Linked DNA regions of Rhinolophus ferrumequinum. The protein of the gene in region 1 interacts with the protein of each later gene in a biochemical or structural test. Links are inferred from orthologs where the notes say so. Each region holds a gene or a part of one and is shown on either strand. Other genes may lie near its edges. The genes, in order: DOK1 and TEC.

Evidence for each region.
Region 2: of the proteins of DOK1 (region 1) and TEC, one has a biochemical effect on the other in vitro, tested with the Homo sapiens proteins (2 studies listed by BioGRID, with this or other methods). The link is inferred for Rhinolophus ferrumequinum from reciprocal best matches to the Homo sapiens genes DOK1 and TEC.

Annotation. Positions count from the first base shown.
Region 1 is NC_046296.1:17,510,384-17,514,287, forward strand, and holds the start of DOK1 (docking protein 1), read right to left. Parts: upstream 2,379-3,904; 5' UTR 2,304-2,378; coding exon 2,244-2,303; intron 2,059-2,243; exon of another isoform or gene 1,934-2,058; intron 1,926-1,933; coding exon 1,626-1,925; intron 1,456-1,625; coding exon 1,362-1,455; intron 1,174-1,361; coding exon 989-1,173; intron 734-988; coding exon 1-733. UniProt on the Homo sapiens protein: DOK proteins are enzymatically inert adaptor or scaffolding proteins. They provide a docking platform for the assembly of multimolecular signaling complexes. DOK1 appears to be a negative regulator of the insulin signaling pathway.
Region 2 is NC_046288.1:8,158,669-8,162,572, forward strand, and holds the start of TEC (tyrosine-protein kinase Tec), read left to right. Parts: upstream 1-1,708; 5' UTR 1,709-1,727; coding exon 1,728-1,829; intron 1,830-2,259; exon of another isoform or gene 2,260-2,279; intron 2,280-3,904.

The DNA.
Region 1 (3,904 bases):
TGCTCTTCTGGACTTGGCTGTACAGGGCAGTGTCTGATAAGCTGTGGTCTTTGCTGCCACTGCCAGTTGCAGCACCAGATTCAGGGAAGGCCAGGCCCTGGGGCTTGGGAGCTGGGAGGGGCTTCGTGCTCCGAGGGGGTGGCACGGCATAGTCGTCAGTGGCAGGGTTGTAGGGGAGCTCGTAGCCCTCCTCCTTCGCCCGAGCCTGGCACCACCATGCATCCTTGGGCTCCTGAGGCAGATCATAAAGACCCCGGAGAGCGGCCGGGGCCCGGCCCTCAGGTTCATCATAGATGGGGTCCTCTTTGGGGTCTCTCAGCTTGGTCTTCAGTAACTGCTGCTGCACATGCTCATACAAGTCCCAATAGATAGTTTTCTTTAACTGTGCCTCCTCCCCTGCCTGTGCAGGGGTGCTGTCCAGGGGGTCTGAATATAGGGAATCCTGGGAAGGACCTGGAGGAATGCGCAGGGAGTCTAAGGGTTCAGCATACAGGGCTGGAAGGCTGCCGGGGAGCTCCTGGGTGCCAGGGAGGGAAGCCAGCTTCCCCTCTGCCACTTCTTCTTGGGAGTCAGCTCTGAGGACCTCCTGCCCCTGACCAGCCTTGCCCTGGGTCTTCTGCAGCTGGATAGCTGTCTCAACTGCCTGAAATATGTCATTTCCTTGTGCCGTCTGGAAGGTGAAGGTTCCAGGGCCAGAGGGGCAGCGGCGGCCAGCCTCAAAGGAGAACATAACCTGAAGAGAGTATGGGGGGAAACACATTATCAGAAGCTATCAGGGGAGGTAAATCACAGGGCTTAACTAGTTAGGGGGCCTACAAAGACAAGACTAGCTGGGAAGGAGGTGGGCTCATAGACTAGGCAAGGGTTATCCAGAGGGCAGAGCTTCCACCTTCCTGCCCTGCCCCCACCCCATCCACAGCCCCAGCCCCAGGAAGCCAATCCTCCCTGACAGCAACCCCATCCTACACACACACCCCCAACCCAGCACCTTATCCCTTCCATAGCGACGCAACAGAGTATAGGGCCAGGAGAGGAGTGGCTCCAGTATCTGACTCTGAGCTCCCACGGTCAGGAGAGCCAGCCTCTCAGTCTCCACTCGCAGCACATAGGAGCCATGCAGGCCACAGCGATCCGCCGCTTCAGTCCTCTGCACAGTGACCCAGAACTGGGATCCTGGAAGAGATACACAATTAGACTGACACCCGAGGAGGTGGGGGCGTGGTTCTCCCAGCACTCACTAGGAAACCAGCTCTCAGGAACTTCCTCCCTCCTCGTGGGTCTCTGGACCCCTAATCAGTCCCTTCCTAGGGGCACCCTTCCTTTCCACCACCCCACCCCTGCCCAGCTTCTCAGGCGGCTACCTTCCCAGGTGGGGCTATACAGCGAGTTCTCCAGCATCTCCAGGGCAGAAAGCTTGGGTGGGTTCTCGGCAGGCGCCAGAGGCCGGCTGCCTTTCTGGGATAAAGAGAACGAGAGTATTGAGGACCCTATCATTCCCTCAACGCGGTCCCCAGGGCCTGGGCCAGCCCAGTTCCTCTGCCTCTGTAACTACCCCCACGCCGCATCGCCTCTGGGGCCCAGTGCGGCTCTCCCCAGCCCCTCGTGGGCAGCCCCGGCCCGCTCACCGGAAAGGCGTTTAGGCACAGCGTTTGCACCCAGGCGGCGCTGGACGGCGCGTCGGCCGCCAGCAGGTGGGAGCGCTGTGCAGTGTCCAGGCGGAAGGCGATGGCGCCAGGCTCCGGGGGACTCTCCACGGCCACCGGCGCCACGCTCACACACTCGGCCAAACGGATCACCTTGCAGTCCAGGCGGCGCGAGCCCCCTCGGCCCGCTCCAGAGCTCGACCCTTTGTGGTCAAAGAACTCGAGGCGCGCTACGCCGTGGGCGCTGGCCGGGTAGAGCACGGCCCAGGTCTTCCTCCACCTCTGAGGAGAGAGAGCAAGCGACGCTGGGCAAGAAGCGGGCGACAGCCGGCGGCCGGCCCCGACGGAAAGGAGGGACCAGCGGAGGCCGCTTTCGGGTCTGAGGCTTCCTGACGGGCACGAAGTTTCCCGAAAAGTATGCCGCTGGATGTCCCCAAGACCAGTGAGGGCGTACCCCAAGGCGGGCAGACGGCGGGAGCGTCTCAGGGCTCCCGGCTCCTGGCGCCGCGCTCCTACCCGCAACCCACCTACTCCCTCTTACTGGGCCCTATCGCCCACCCCTAAGTTCTGATGGGGTTCGGTACCCCTGCCCCCGACTACCTTGGTACCGAAACGCTGACTCTGCAAAAAGAGCGGCCCTTCCATCACAGACCCGTCCATGGCCCCGGGCGGTTCTTTCCGCGCTTCCTGGCCCTGAGGCCTGAGGGCGGGGCGGGGGCGGGGCGGGGCGGGGCCGTGTCCAACCCAGGCGTTCCCGCCCCTTGCCCCGACCCTGCGGACCGTAATGAGGGAAGGAGGGAAACAGAAGGAAGGAGAGGAGGTCCCCAGATTAGCTGGGCGGTGCACCCCCTCCAGGCCCCTACCCACAGTCCTGGGACGTGCACAAGTGTCTTCACTAAAAGAAACCTCTCGGTTTCGGCCAGAGGGCTCCTGGCGCCTGGGCTTGGGCGCTTCGTACAAGTCATATGCTCAACGTGACATCAAAGTGAAGGCCGTGACATCACTTCGAAAATGCCGACGGGCACCCACAGGGGCCCCGTGGGCCCTCAGGGCCTCCGTTCCCGCCCTCCGACCGGACCCGCCCCCAGCCCGGCTGTTTACTCTCGGTGGTGCCTGGGACTTTGGGGGAAGGGCTGGGGGCTGAGGACTGGAAGGGTTCCCGTAGTCCCGAGCTGAGCCGCGGCCTCCCGCCGCCACAGGGGCCGCCTCCCGGGCCGGTGTGCGGCCCAGTGGCCTCTAGCTTGTCCAGCTCCCTGACAGCAGCTGCCTGTCCTCCAACCCGCGGGAAAAGAAAGCTTCATTGAGCCAGCCAGGAGGTGCAGGGGGCGGGGGACACGAGAGTCGGGGGAGATGGAACGACTGCAGCCAGCTTGCTCCACCAGGGAGGGGAGGTCCAAGAGGAGGGAACTGGCCTGGGAGGAATCCAGGGAGAAGGCGGAATGTGGGAGGGCTCAAGGGGACGTGGGAGGGACGAAGGGGAGGGGGTGTCCAGTCTTCCCTGGCCGAGCTTTTTTTTTTTTTTTTTTTGGAAGTCCCAGAACTGATCTCCAGGACCAGGAATCTTCTTCCAGCCCCAAGGGCCCCCGGCTCAGCCAAAGGTAGGGGAGTCAAGCTGCCGGCGGGAGCAAAGGGAGTTTCGGATAGAGAGGATGGTGGAGGGACCAGGGCAAATGGGTGATGTGGGATGGAGTGAGGGGAAGTCCACCAGCTGAGCGTTTTATTATTGTCAAAGAAGAGTGAGACGAGAAGAGTGGAGAGAGGACACAGATACTTGGGGGGAGGGGGCCCTGCAGGGTTTTCCGAATAGGGCGGCAGGGAGGGCCCTAAGGCTGGGGACTCCTCGGTGAAGCCCTACCCCTGGGCCCCCAATCCAAAATGTCCCCAGAACAAAGCTGCCCTGTTGGGTTGTTTGTCTGAGTCAGGGGAAGCATGTTGCGGGGGCTTGCAGTAGAGGGTCTGTTCTCAGCCTCAGACAGGGGGCAGGCCTTGGCTGAGGAGCTGAGGGTGCCCTGGCCTCCGGTTGCCCGGTGACAGTGGTGGTGATGTTGGCAGGAGGCTTGGGCAATCCCACCCCATCCCCCCTACCCAGCTTGAGGCCTGGTCCTCCTGGGCACCTTGACCCTGCAGGACATGTGAGGGCCTGTGTGCTGGGTCCAGTGTACAGCTGGCTGGCTCTCCATGCATTCTGGTCTCTGCCTCAGAATCTGTCCGGATAGGACTCTGGGCTTGGCTCCCATTCAGGGGACCCTAGATCCAAGGGT
Region 2 (3,904 bases), on another chromosome or scaffold:
GTCAACTTGAGTATCTGACTGGGCTAAAAGGCAGGAGAGACTGGGCCTGGGAGGAGACAGTATATCACAAAAGAGAAATTTTACTAGATTCATTCTGAGGACAGGTCACATTATGTTCAGGGTCCTCACCGGAGTGAAAGAAGATTTGGAGTTAGAAGGCCTTGGTTCAAATCCGTGCCCTCTTCGCATACCCCTGCTTTTTTTTTTTTTTTTTTAAATTTTATTGGGGAATCTTGGGGAACAGTGTGTTACTCCAGGGTCCATCAGCTCCAAGTCGTTGTCCTTCAATCTAGTTGTGGAGGGCGCAGCTCAGCTCCAAGTCCAGTCGCCATTTTCAATCTTTAGTTGCAGGGATCGCAGCCCACCATCCCATGTGGGAATTGAACCGGCAAACTTGTTGTTGAGAGCTTGCGCTCTAACCAACTGAGCCATCCCGCCGGCCCTCCAGCAGATCAGCGGCAGCTCATTGTTTTCAATCTAGTTGTGGAGGGTGCAGCTCACTGGCCCATGTGGGAATTGAACCGGCAACCCTGTTGTTCAGAGCTCGCACTCTAACCACCTGAGCCACCTGGCCGCAAACCCCTGCTTTTTCTAATTAAGTAAGTCATTAAACTTCTGTACCCTTAGATTTCTTTTTTCTATAAAATGGAATTTTGTCAGATTTCTTCTCAGGTTTATTGCATGATTAAAGGAGAGCCTATAGGAAGGTATATTTTTAAGTCCCAAACAGGCATGAAGTATGATAACTATTAGTGCACTTGCCATTCCTTTCATCTTCATGTTGACTGCCCAGGTTCTGTCATTCAGCTCTCAGCTCCACGGTCACTTCCTCAGAGAGGCCTCCAGGACCACCAGATCTAAAGTGGCCTCCCCCTTCACTCTCAATTCTATCACTCAGCTTCATTTTAGTCAAGACACTTCCCACATATGCAATCGTTTTCTTTTTACTTGCTTATTGATTACTTACTGTCTTTCTCCCTACACTAGAATAGAACTCCTTGAGGGCAGAGCCCTGTTTTGTATTCCCTAAGCCTGGAAGAGTTCATGGGACATGGTAGACACTCAGATTTTAGAGTCAGGATAGCAGTGGTTAAGGGTGCGGACTCTGGAGATTATTTAACTCTCCTCTACGCCTCCCTTTTACCACATGTAAAAATGAGGGATTCTGATAACAAATACGTACTTTATAGAATGGTAATATATGTGAAGTATGTAGAACAGTGCTTGGCACAGTGTCAGTTTTATATAAGTACTGATTTCTACTCTTCAATGAGTTTGACAGAAGTGTTAATACATGAACATGAGTGCAGGTGGCCCTCTAAGTGTGTCAGATATCCTCCGCGGCCTCAGGTGTGACAGTGAAGACTTACTCTTTTGGTAAAGCTCGTCGCTTCGCTCCACTGCCCTGTCATCCGCCTGGCCCCCCACCGCTTAGCGGAAGAGGAGGTGTGGTCCCTAATTCCGACAGAGTAACCAGTAACCCACAGGTGGCACCGCTCTGGGTGCTCCCAGGCCAGGGATGTACGAGCTCTCGCGGGGCGGTTCTCCGGGACAGGAAGCCCGGGACTAGGGAGTCCCTGCGTGTCGTTCGGGAACACAGGGGACACTTTTGCGACTTCCCCGGAACTCAGGCCTCGGGTCTCAAAACCGTGGCAGGGCGGTGGGAGCCGATCGCCGCCCGCGGTAGGGAGCGGGGGCGGAGCGACCGGGGGACGGGGCGGGGCGGGATGGTCGCGGGCGGGGCTGAGAGGCCCGGAGCTCCGGACTCCGCCGCGCCCGCCAGACCTCGCATTCTCTCCGGCTCCGCGCAGCCTGCGCTCTCCTGCCAGGTAAGGGCGCCGTGGGCCCTCGGGGGCACCCCGGGGACTGCAGGACTTCGGGCGAGGAAGGGTCGGGACGGGGATGCGTGCGGTGAGAGGTGGCTTCCACGTGCTTCGAGACTAACCAAGACTGACCATCGTGGAACGAGGAGGGATTTCCCCACCTCCGCGCCGCGGTGAGCGTGACGCGCCACGCCAGTGCGGGATCCTGTCCTCTTCGGTCCAGGAAGAAGGCGCAGGTAGGGCCGTTTCGGCGGCCGCCGCCCCTCCGCCTCCGGGGCTCCGGCGCTGGTCTCTCCCGAGGAGCGTCCGCCCCTTTCTCCCGGGGTCCCGGGGCCGAGGCAGCTTCGCGGCAAGTTCAGGGCTGGGTTCGCTTCCCAGCAGCGTGGCTGGGTAGATTCCTCCTCTCTGCTGGGGCGGCAGCGCAGGCTTGATTGAAAGTTGGCAGAAGCGACGCAGGTATTCCACAGTTGCCCGGGTCCGAGTGCCTCACCCCACCAACTTCACACTTTTTTCTTTCTTTTAGTCTGGGAAATTGTAGTTAAATCTTGAAAACAGGGGTTCAGGGAGTATATCATTAAAACTAGGGCCTTGATCGACCCAGGAGTATTCACTTTAACTCCTAAATTCAGGTTTGGAAACAGTCTCATCCACTGCCATTCGTTGGAAACTGGCATATTTGATGAGAAGTGTAGATCTCGGTGTTAATTGGATGGCTGGAGGCTAAGTGGGTTTGAAGGTTATCCAAAATAGTTACTTTTTGAGCATATACCCTGCATTTTCCCCAGTGAGTGCCTATTTTTCCTTTTAGGAAATTCTGAGAATTAACTCTCTTCCAGATGATTCTCCCCTAAAGAGCTGGGGAGGAAAAATCAACCCCTACAAACAAGTGGGTTTCCAAAATAAGTTCAAGATTTGTCAGGTTAATTTGTGACACTAGTAGCTCCTTAGTCAGGAAGAATCTCATGCAGTACGGAATGTTATGATTTATATGGAGAAAAGAAGTGTGTAATTTTCTCATTAAGTATTTGAAACTAGTTTTTAGTTTAGTGACATTTTCACGTGTCTAGGAAAGACCTATACTTTCCCCATGCTCCAGTTCATCTGATCAATATATTACTACACTTGCCAAGTCATGATGCTTATTGCAGTGGGTTTGTGTTAATGATCTGGAGTCTTCTCACAAGGATGTGTACATTTTGGTTTGTGGAACTGTGTAAGGCAAGTGAAACTGTAAGGCAAGTGTTACACACATGCAAATCAGTACTGTGTTCTAGTCAGCAATACCTTTGCCGCAAGTAGGTCCTTGAACTAAAATTTTCACATCTCAAATAGGAAAGAATATAGAATATTAATGTATGCTCTAGCACTTTTAACTTGATGTTTCCCTTATTCTGTATCAAGAATAAGAATGTTTTTTTCAGCAGCTAGTTACTGAAGGGCCGGGACTCTGCTTTGTCATCTTATGGTAAAGCTCAGAGAATCGTGACTTTTGCTTCCTGAAGTTGGCCCTTGACAGGGTGGTTGGAGGGATTGTGGGTGGTGTCTGGCCACTTTTATGCTTGGGGAAGAATTGTTGGTCTCCCTGCCTTCCTTTGAGTATTCAGAGTGCTAGGAGCCTGGGCCTTGGGCCTCTGAGCCTGCAGGTTTCTCCAGGTTGACCTAGTTGGTGCCTCCTCTCTCTGGCCCAGCTCTTTCAGCTCCTTCTCCATCCTTCCTATCCCTTCCACCCCACTCCATCCATCCCAGATTCCCACCCCTAGGGAGAATCACCTTTTTGTTCAGGGCAGGGTGACTTGGTCCACATAGTTGATAGGCGAGTTGATCCTCAGCCTGGTGCTGGGTTTGCTAAGGATGCTCAGTAAATATCTGTTGATGACAGTGTCACTTGTTTCAGATCCCTTACTATGCTCTCCTCTTATCCAGTCTTCATAGGCAAATTGAGTAACCCAGGTTGAACCCAGATCAACCGCTTTGGGGGCCAGCTGCCTTGGTTGGTTTAGGGTCATAAATTGGGCATTCAGACCTGTGAGAAAGGAGTAAAATTGGTCCATGGTCACTGGCAATAGGAAAATTACCCTGTA